Danio rerio: one gene and its partner. The protein of the gene in region 1 purifies or fractionates together with the protein of each later gene. This does not show direct contact. Links are inferred from orthologs where the notes say so. Each region holds a gene or a part of one and is shown on either strand. Other genes may lie near its edges.

What was found.
Region 2: the proteins of stx12l (region 1) and sybl1 purify together in Homo sapiens (affinity purification with mass spectrometry; 3 studies listed by BioGRID and IntAct, counting the BioPlex papers as one, with this or other methods). This does not show direct contact. The link is inferred for Danio rerio from reciprocal best matches to the Homo sapiens genes STX12 and VAMP7.

Annotation. Positions count from the first base shown.
Region 1 is NC_133191.1:7,959,344-7,963,543, forward strand, and holds the start of stx12l (syntaxin-12), read left to right. Parts: upstream 1-1,293; 5' UTR 1,294-1,305; coding exon 1,306-1,390; intron 1,391-1,738; coding exon 1,739-1,849; intron 1,850-4,200. UniProt on the Homo sapiens protein: SNARE promoting fusion of transport vesicles with target membranes. Together with SNARE STX6, promotes movement of vesicles from endosomes to the cell membrane, and may therefore function in the endocytic recycling pathway.
Region 2 is NC_133189.1:9,605,751-9,609,411, forward strand, and holds part of sybl1 (vesicle-associated membrane protein 7), read right to left. Parts: intron 1,005-3,661; 5' UTR 980-1,004; coding exon 834-979; intron 548-833; coding exon 490-547; intron 417-489; coding exon 279-416; intron 1-278. UniProt on the Homo sapiens protein: Involved in the targeting and/or fusion of transport vesicles to their target membrane during transport of proteins from the early endosome to the lysosome. Required for heterotypic fusion of late endosomes with lysosomes and homotypic lysosomal fusion.

The DNA of each region.
Region 1 (4,200 bases):
TCATGGCATAGATTCAACAAGATTGAATTGCTCCAAAATTTCTGTCCATATTGACATGAAAGCATTTCACGATTTGTAGACTGCACATCCATGATACAAATTTCCAGTTCCACCACATCCCAAAAGTGCCCTATTGGATTGAGGTGACTGTGAAGGCCATTTGAGTACAGTGAACTCATTGTCATGTTTAAGAAACCAGTCTGAGATGATTCGCACTTTATCACATGGCTTGTTATTCTGCTGGAAGTAGCCATCAGAAGATGGGTTCACTGTGGTCATAAAGGGATGGACATGGTCAGCAACAATACTAATAACAATACTAATGTGACCAAAGTGTGTTAAGAAAATACACCATTACACCACCACCACCAGCCTCAACCGTTGACACAAGGCAGGATGGATCCAAGCTTTCATTTTGTTGATGCCAAATTCTGACTATCTGAATGTCGCAGCAGAAATCGAGAGCCATCAGGCCATGAAATGTTTTTTCAATCTTCTATTGTCCAATTTTGGTGAGCCTTTGTGAATTGTAGCCTCAGTTTCCTTTTCTTAGCTGTCAGGAGTGGCACACGGTGTGGTCTTCTGCTGCTGTAGCCCATCTGCCACAAGGTTGGACGTGTTGTGCATTCAGAGATGCTCTTCTGCAGACCTCGGTTGTAACGAGTGGTTATTTGAGTTACTGTTGCCTTTCTATCAGCTGGAACCAGCCTAACCATTCTCCTCTGACCCCTGGCATCAACAAGGCATTTGCGCCCACAGAACTGCCGCTCAATGGATATTATCTCTTTTCGCACCATTCTCTGTAAACCCAGATTGTTGTGCGTGAAAATCCCAGTAGATCAGCAGTTTCTGAAATACTCAGACCAGCCGGTCTGGCACCAACAAACGTGCCATATACAGAGTCACTTAAATCACCTTTCTTTTCCTATAATGATGCTCGGTTTGAACTGCTGCAGATCGTCTTAACTGTGTCTACAAAATACAGGTGTACCTAATAAAGTGTATATACACACTGTATTACTACTGTGGCATTCATTAACAAAGTTATAAACAAGCTATACTATGTATAATACACTTGAATATAGTAGGCTAGGCTGTTTCACTGCCAAAACCCAAAAGTAACACATGACAGCTGTAATGGTCCAGCGTGATTCTAGTCATATTATCTAGTCAATAATTTGCACATTATAGAAATAATAATAATAACATTAACATTAAGCGACATTAACAAAGCAAATAAAAGAAATAAGTTAAAGTAGACCCGTCAAAACAGAAATCTAAGCTCCGCCTATTAGTGTTACCGCTATGATCGTGTGTTTCCTTTCTATTCATTTCGATTTCTGTGAGAGGAGCAGCGCATCGCCGCCGCATCTGAGCATCACAGTTACAGGTATGCGATTCATTCTCACTCTTTACGTATTGAAACCGTTCGCTTTGTTGACATTCGTGCAAGCATATTTACATAATTTCAGACGTACATAATTAGTCCTTGTTTTATTGCAGCGACAGGCCTGCTGAGCCATTACCGACGTGAAATGTGTTGCGTTGCGTACGCAGTAGCCTACATTTTCTGTATTTGTTTCAGGTTTATTCATTTACGTGTTTTATCTACTGCTATTTTCAGAAATGTGTAACCTGTACATAAAATAAGTCGTTTATTTATATTTAATGCGCGAACACAGTTAACCTAAAGTGAATGTGATTTATGGCATCTGATCATGCAGCTGTTGTTTTTCAGTCATCATGTCTTACGGAATGATGGACAGCAGCCACTCACAGTCACAGCCGAGAGATTTCAACAACCTCACGCAGACATGCAGCTCAAACATCCAGAAAATCACACAAAACAGTAAGTAGATATATTGCAGACACACTTTAAGTGATCGTTTAAATGAAATGCGTGCAATTACACTGCAAAAAATGCCTTTCTTGCTTAGATTTTTTGTCTTGTTTCTAGTCTAAATATCTAAAATTTATTATGTCAAGAAGCATTTTCTAGACAAGCTAACCATATTGTCTTGAGAAATAATATGCCAATATTAGGTGAGTTTTTCCTTAAAACAAGCAAAATAATCTGCCAATGGGGTAAGCAAATTAATCTTGTTTTTTCTTTTGACGTAAGATTATTTTGTTTACCCCATTGGCAGATTATTTTGCTTGTATTAAGGAAAAACTCACTTAATATTGGAATATTATTTCTCAATACAAGACAATATGCTTTGCTTGTCTAGAAAATTATTCTTAAATTAGGAATTTTTTAGCTATTTGGACTAGAAACATGACAAAAGATCTAAGTAAGAAAAGCATTTTTTTGCAGTGTAAACAGTTTACTGACCCTGAAGACACCTTTCTTCTTTTAGACAAGCACAAAAACAATGACACAAAGTAATTTTCTGGCTTGATTTTTTTTTCTACACATACACATCAATTTTAAAAAAATAATCCACATGACGACTCCATGGGTAAAGATGGTTTCTGTAGTGAAGGAATTAGTTTTTGTCAGAAAAATATCCACATTTAATGCTTTTCCAGTTTGCACATTCTCAAGGGAAGTAGCCTATGTATGATAAGCCTAACCCTTACTGTAAATTATTCCCAAAATCAGAGGGGATTAATATACTGATGTAGATTTGTATAACCCTAAATGTAAGCCTAAACTTAAACATAACTGTAAACGTATTCCTTAAATCTAATTGGCTGATTGGAAACACAGATATTGATCCAGAAACATGTTACTCGATGAAATAGTGTAAATCTTAAATTAGAATTTTGGCAGTTTTGGATATCCTGTACATTTGTATTATTATTTATATTAAAATTATCCATGTTTATGTCCTACTTCATATGTGATAGCTTGGCTCTTACTGTATGTCAATACAGATTTTTTTCCCCTTAGAGAGCATTGAATAACACGCTGTAGTGATATGGATTATTTTTATGGAAATCTTAAACTGGGGCAGCATCAAATCCTATAAAAAATATGGGAAGTTTTTTTTTTTTAATAACTCTGTGTTTGTCTGAAATAGAAAGGCATGTTGTACAGTACATCTAGGATGGCTTCAAGATGAGTAAATTATGAATTATGTTTTTCACTTGGCGAAGAGTTCCTTAAAGAAAAGATTGCATTATCTGTTAAATCTTTAACTATTTAGTTTGAATAGGTATTAATGGGCAGTTCATTGCGCTGTGGCGACCCCGTATTGTTAAAGGGACTAAGTGGAAAAGCAAGGCAGGGCAAGTTTATTTATATAGCACATTTCATACACAGAGGCAATTATAAGTGTTTTACATAAACAGGAATAAAAGAAACAAGAGTAAGAAAATAAAAACAAATAATAAGAATTATAAAAATACGAATAAAAATAAATAAAACAGATAAAAATGTGTTAAAATATGTTATAAGATAATGAAAAAGAAAAGAAAAGCATAATAGTGCGATCTGTCGACGCAGCACAGTGCTCATTCAGTAAGGGCACAGCTAAACAGATGTGTTTTCAGTCTTGATTTGAATGTGCCTAATGTTGGAGCACATCTGATCATTTCTGGAAGCTGATTCCAGCAGCGGGGGGCATAGTGGCTGAAGGCGGATTCACCCTGCTTTGACTGAGCTCTCGGAACTTCTAGTTTATATGATCCTAAAGATCTGAGTGATCTGTTAGGTTTGTATTCAGTGAGCATATATGAAATGTATTGAGGTCCTAGGCCATTTAGTGATTTATAGACCAGTAACAATACTTTAAAGTCTATTCTGAATGTAACTGGGAGCTAGTGTAGAGACCTGAGGACAGGTGTGATGTGCTCTGATTTTCTGGTTCTGATCAGAATCCTGGCTGCAACATTTTGGATGAGCTGCAACTGTCTCACTGTCTTTTTGGGAAGGCCAGTGAGGAGTCCATTACAGTAATCCACCCTGCTGCTGATAAAAGCATGAAGAAGTTACTTCACTGGAAACAAAGCATTCTGATTCTTGCAATGTTTTTGAGATGATAGTATGCTGATTTACTTACTGCTTTGACATGACTATTGAAACTCAGATCTGACTCCAGAGTCACACCAAGATTCTTGATCTTATTTTTTGTCGTTTGACCTTTAGTGCCAAGGTACGCATTCACCTTGAGAACCTCATCTCCGTTCCCAAACGCAATGACTTCAGTTTTCTCTTTGTTCAACTGAAGAAAGTTTTGGCACATCCAAGTGTTA
Region 2 (3,661 bases), on another chromosome or scaffold:
AGTTATACAATAACTATCTCTAAGTACCCTAACTCTCCTAGTTAACCTGATTAACCTAATCAAGCCTTTAAATGTCACTTTAAGCTTAATAGTATCTTCAAAACTATTTGGTAAAATATTATTTACTGTCATCATGGCAAGGATAAAAATATCTTAAAAAGTATATCGGCCTCCGATTCTAAAGAGTCATCGATTATCTGTATCGGTCAATAATTCCATATAGGTGCACCCCTATTGAAAGTGTACAAAACACATACAAAGATGGCAGACGCACGTACCATTTGTGCAGCCAGTGTGCTGGAAAACTCACTGTTCATGGCGTAGGGCAGTGCGGTCTGTGCTCGAGAGCCATATGTGGTCTGAAATCTCTTTTTTACCTCATTGAGGAAGCCAAACGCACGGGACCGCTCAAACTCCTGAAAGAGAGACAAACGGTTAAGTGTGTGAATGGAGCTGGAGAGAAGCTGAGATCATGTGACGGATACTCACATCATCAGTGATGCACAGATAGACAATCCGCTCATGGCAGATGTAGTGGAAAAGATAGCTGAGAGAAAACACAATAGAAACACTTTAAATCAGCACAAAGAATCGCTGGTAAAGTATTCACAGCACATTAGAAGTGTTTCCCAACCCTGTTCCTGGAGACACAATAACAGTACATATTTTGGATGTCCCCCTTATCTGACCTATTCATTTCAGGTTTTCTCTCCTAACGTTCTGATGAGTTGATTGAGGTGTGTTTGATTAGGAAGAGGTTAGAAATGTGTACTGTTGGTGTGCCTTTAGGAACAGAGTTGGGAAACACTGCATTAGCAAAATGTCAGTTGTACCTGCCGTGAGAATATGTGAGCTTGTTGTTTTCAGATGGGATTTTGGCCAGGATCTGTTCAGTCACTTCCAGAAAGTTGCCAGAGAAACACGCATGCTTAGCTAGAACGGTTGATCCTCGAGCCACCACGGCAAACAGGATAGCCATCACCACTGATAAACCTTATCGAACACTGGAAGATTTAAAAACACCCTCATGTCAAAGTAAATTAAAACATACATCATTGACCTTATTTGGACTGATTCAGCTTTGGTTTGGTTACATTTTGATTGCAGTTAGTTTATTTGGTTTGGTTACATTTTGTTTCTTCGTGCTATTGAGAGTTTGGCTTTGAAAAAATGTTTTAGGTAATGTTATTAAATCAAATTTTATTAAATTGGTATGAAAAAAAGTATTGTTCAGGAACTTGTATCAAATTCAACCAGTATAGGTATTGCAATGACAAGATATATACAGTTGAAGACCAAGTTATTCAGTAAAATTTTAATTCTATTAAATATTTCCCAAGTGATGTTAATAGGAGAGAAGATGGTTTCAAGAGTTCACACTTCGATATTGCTTGACGCTATTAGCAGGTTTGGCATGCTGTCCCGGTAGATAAATGAGATAATTGAGCCCAGGGATCCCGTCTGGTCAATGATCATGTAAGGGTGTAAAAGATCAGGTAGCTCTTAAGAGCTCCACCTGGTTAAGGAGAAAAGTGGGAGATGGGGTGGATGAGGGGGATTCTTCAAAAAACGAAGATAAGGGAGTGAGGCTAGACAGGATATTTATAGTGAGTTTGGAATAATCCGATTGGTTTACTAATGATTACAGATGAGAGTCAGCCATGATCAATAATATCACATGCTCCTCTTGAAATTAGTTTGTGAAACTTCACTTAAATAATGGTGTAACTAATATATCTACTTTTAATATAACTATTTGCTTTTGTCTTTGACAAAAAGGCAGTCCTTATTAGCTGTTTTGCAATATAATTGTACACAACAAATCGTTTCAGCATCAGTATGGCAATGTGCACATTCACAATAGTCAAATCGCAAGATACGCAATGGTGAGTCTGAATTATAGTTGACCAAGTCCTACAGAAATGTATTTAATTACTGTATTTATATAGAATTTATTTTTAAAAAATGGATTAGTCCAAATATCTACATTTCAAAGTGAAAACAAGATTATTTTGCTTACCCCACAGGCAGATAACTTAGCTTGTTTAAAGTAAAAATGTAATATTCTGAAGGTGAAAACAAAACAACTTGCTCTTACATTTTTTTAAATATTTGAACTAAACGAGACAAAGCAAAGTAAGAAAAGCCTTTTTTCATTGTAATTATTCAATTTCTGAACCCGAATACAGTTAGTTTCCCTAGAAAACCATCACATATAGAGCTATTTAAACTATCTTTAACAATGTTTGTACATTTAAAAAACTATACACAATCTAGCCAAATTAAAATGATTAAGACTTACAATAAATACAGAATCAAAATTTCACAGGAGAGCTAATTATTTTCAACTATATGTAAATGTTGTTGCAAAATGGTAAGCCATTTGGTTTTTCATTTTAAATTTGTAACCAGGTACATCAAACATGACAGAAAACAAAACTTTCAAAAATGCTACTCTTTTCAGATACTGTAATTTTTTTTTATAAATACTCTTTAAAAACATATAGATATTTTGAAGAAAGCTGAAAATTGTACAGACATTGTGAGCCCCTCGTTAAATTATTTACAATATTCCCAATTCTTAAAATGTGTAATTAATTATTAATTTGGGCACATTACCAGCATTATTGTTTTTATTATAATTTTTATTATTATTATTATCATCTGCCATTGTAACCTATAATCAATTATGATGAACAAAATCAAGTCCTGCCATACATCTTTTTTTTTCTCTCAATTCAGAAGCCGTTATCTTTTGGCTATATATCACAATAAGGAAGGAAATACTATCGTAACTTCTGTTTCAGTTATTACTTAAAAAGGCATTTTTTCATTCACAGAAAAAACAGCACAACAATATTATAGTTTTTAAAATAGTATTTATATTAACATTTAAAGGTTGTAGCCAGTGTCTAAGCATTAAAAAGCTAATCACACCAAATGCACATCAATCATTGGACGGAAATGGGGGAAACACATTTGAGGAAACAGTTTGCTGAACCATAGTCTAGAATTCAGTCATGATTCTAGGAAACAGCAAACCAGCTTGTGATCAAATCACTTGACTCTGATCCCGTCTCCTTTTTCTGCATGCTGACTAAACAACTGAACATAAATCATTTACATAATACATTTTTAGCAAACTAAATAATAGAAATTCTGTACGTTTTTATTTCTGTATTTTACTACTTTTAATCAACCTTATGCAAAAAATGTGTTATTCATGTAAACAAAAAACTTAGTCCTGCTTGCTGGGAGCTGCTTTCAGTTCAAACCTAAAAATGCAAGTTCACTTTATTCAATAATGTGTTTTGTATTGATTAATCATTCATTTACACAATTTATTCTATTTTAAGTTACTAGTTCATTAATACAGCAACGTTATATAATTAAGGTAAAGTTGGTTTAATATTCACACATTCTGACTTTCTCCTTAATAATAACATTTCAGAAAAGTAAGCAAATTCTAAATGCCAATCACTACTGAAGTACAACATTGTTCAGTCAAATAAAGTGCTAATGTTGTCTTCAAGTCATAATCACATGTGATTTCAGACTGAATATTCAAAGTACACTGCAAATTTTAGATAGTAGATTTAACTACCTTAGAGTTAAAATTAACACTCCCTCAGAGTTTATATAGGAACCACTATAAGTGTTA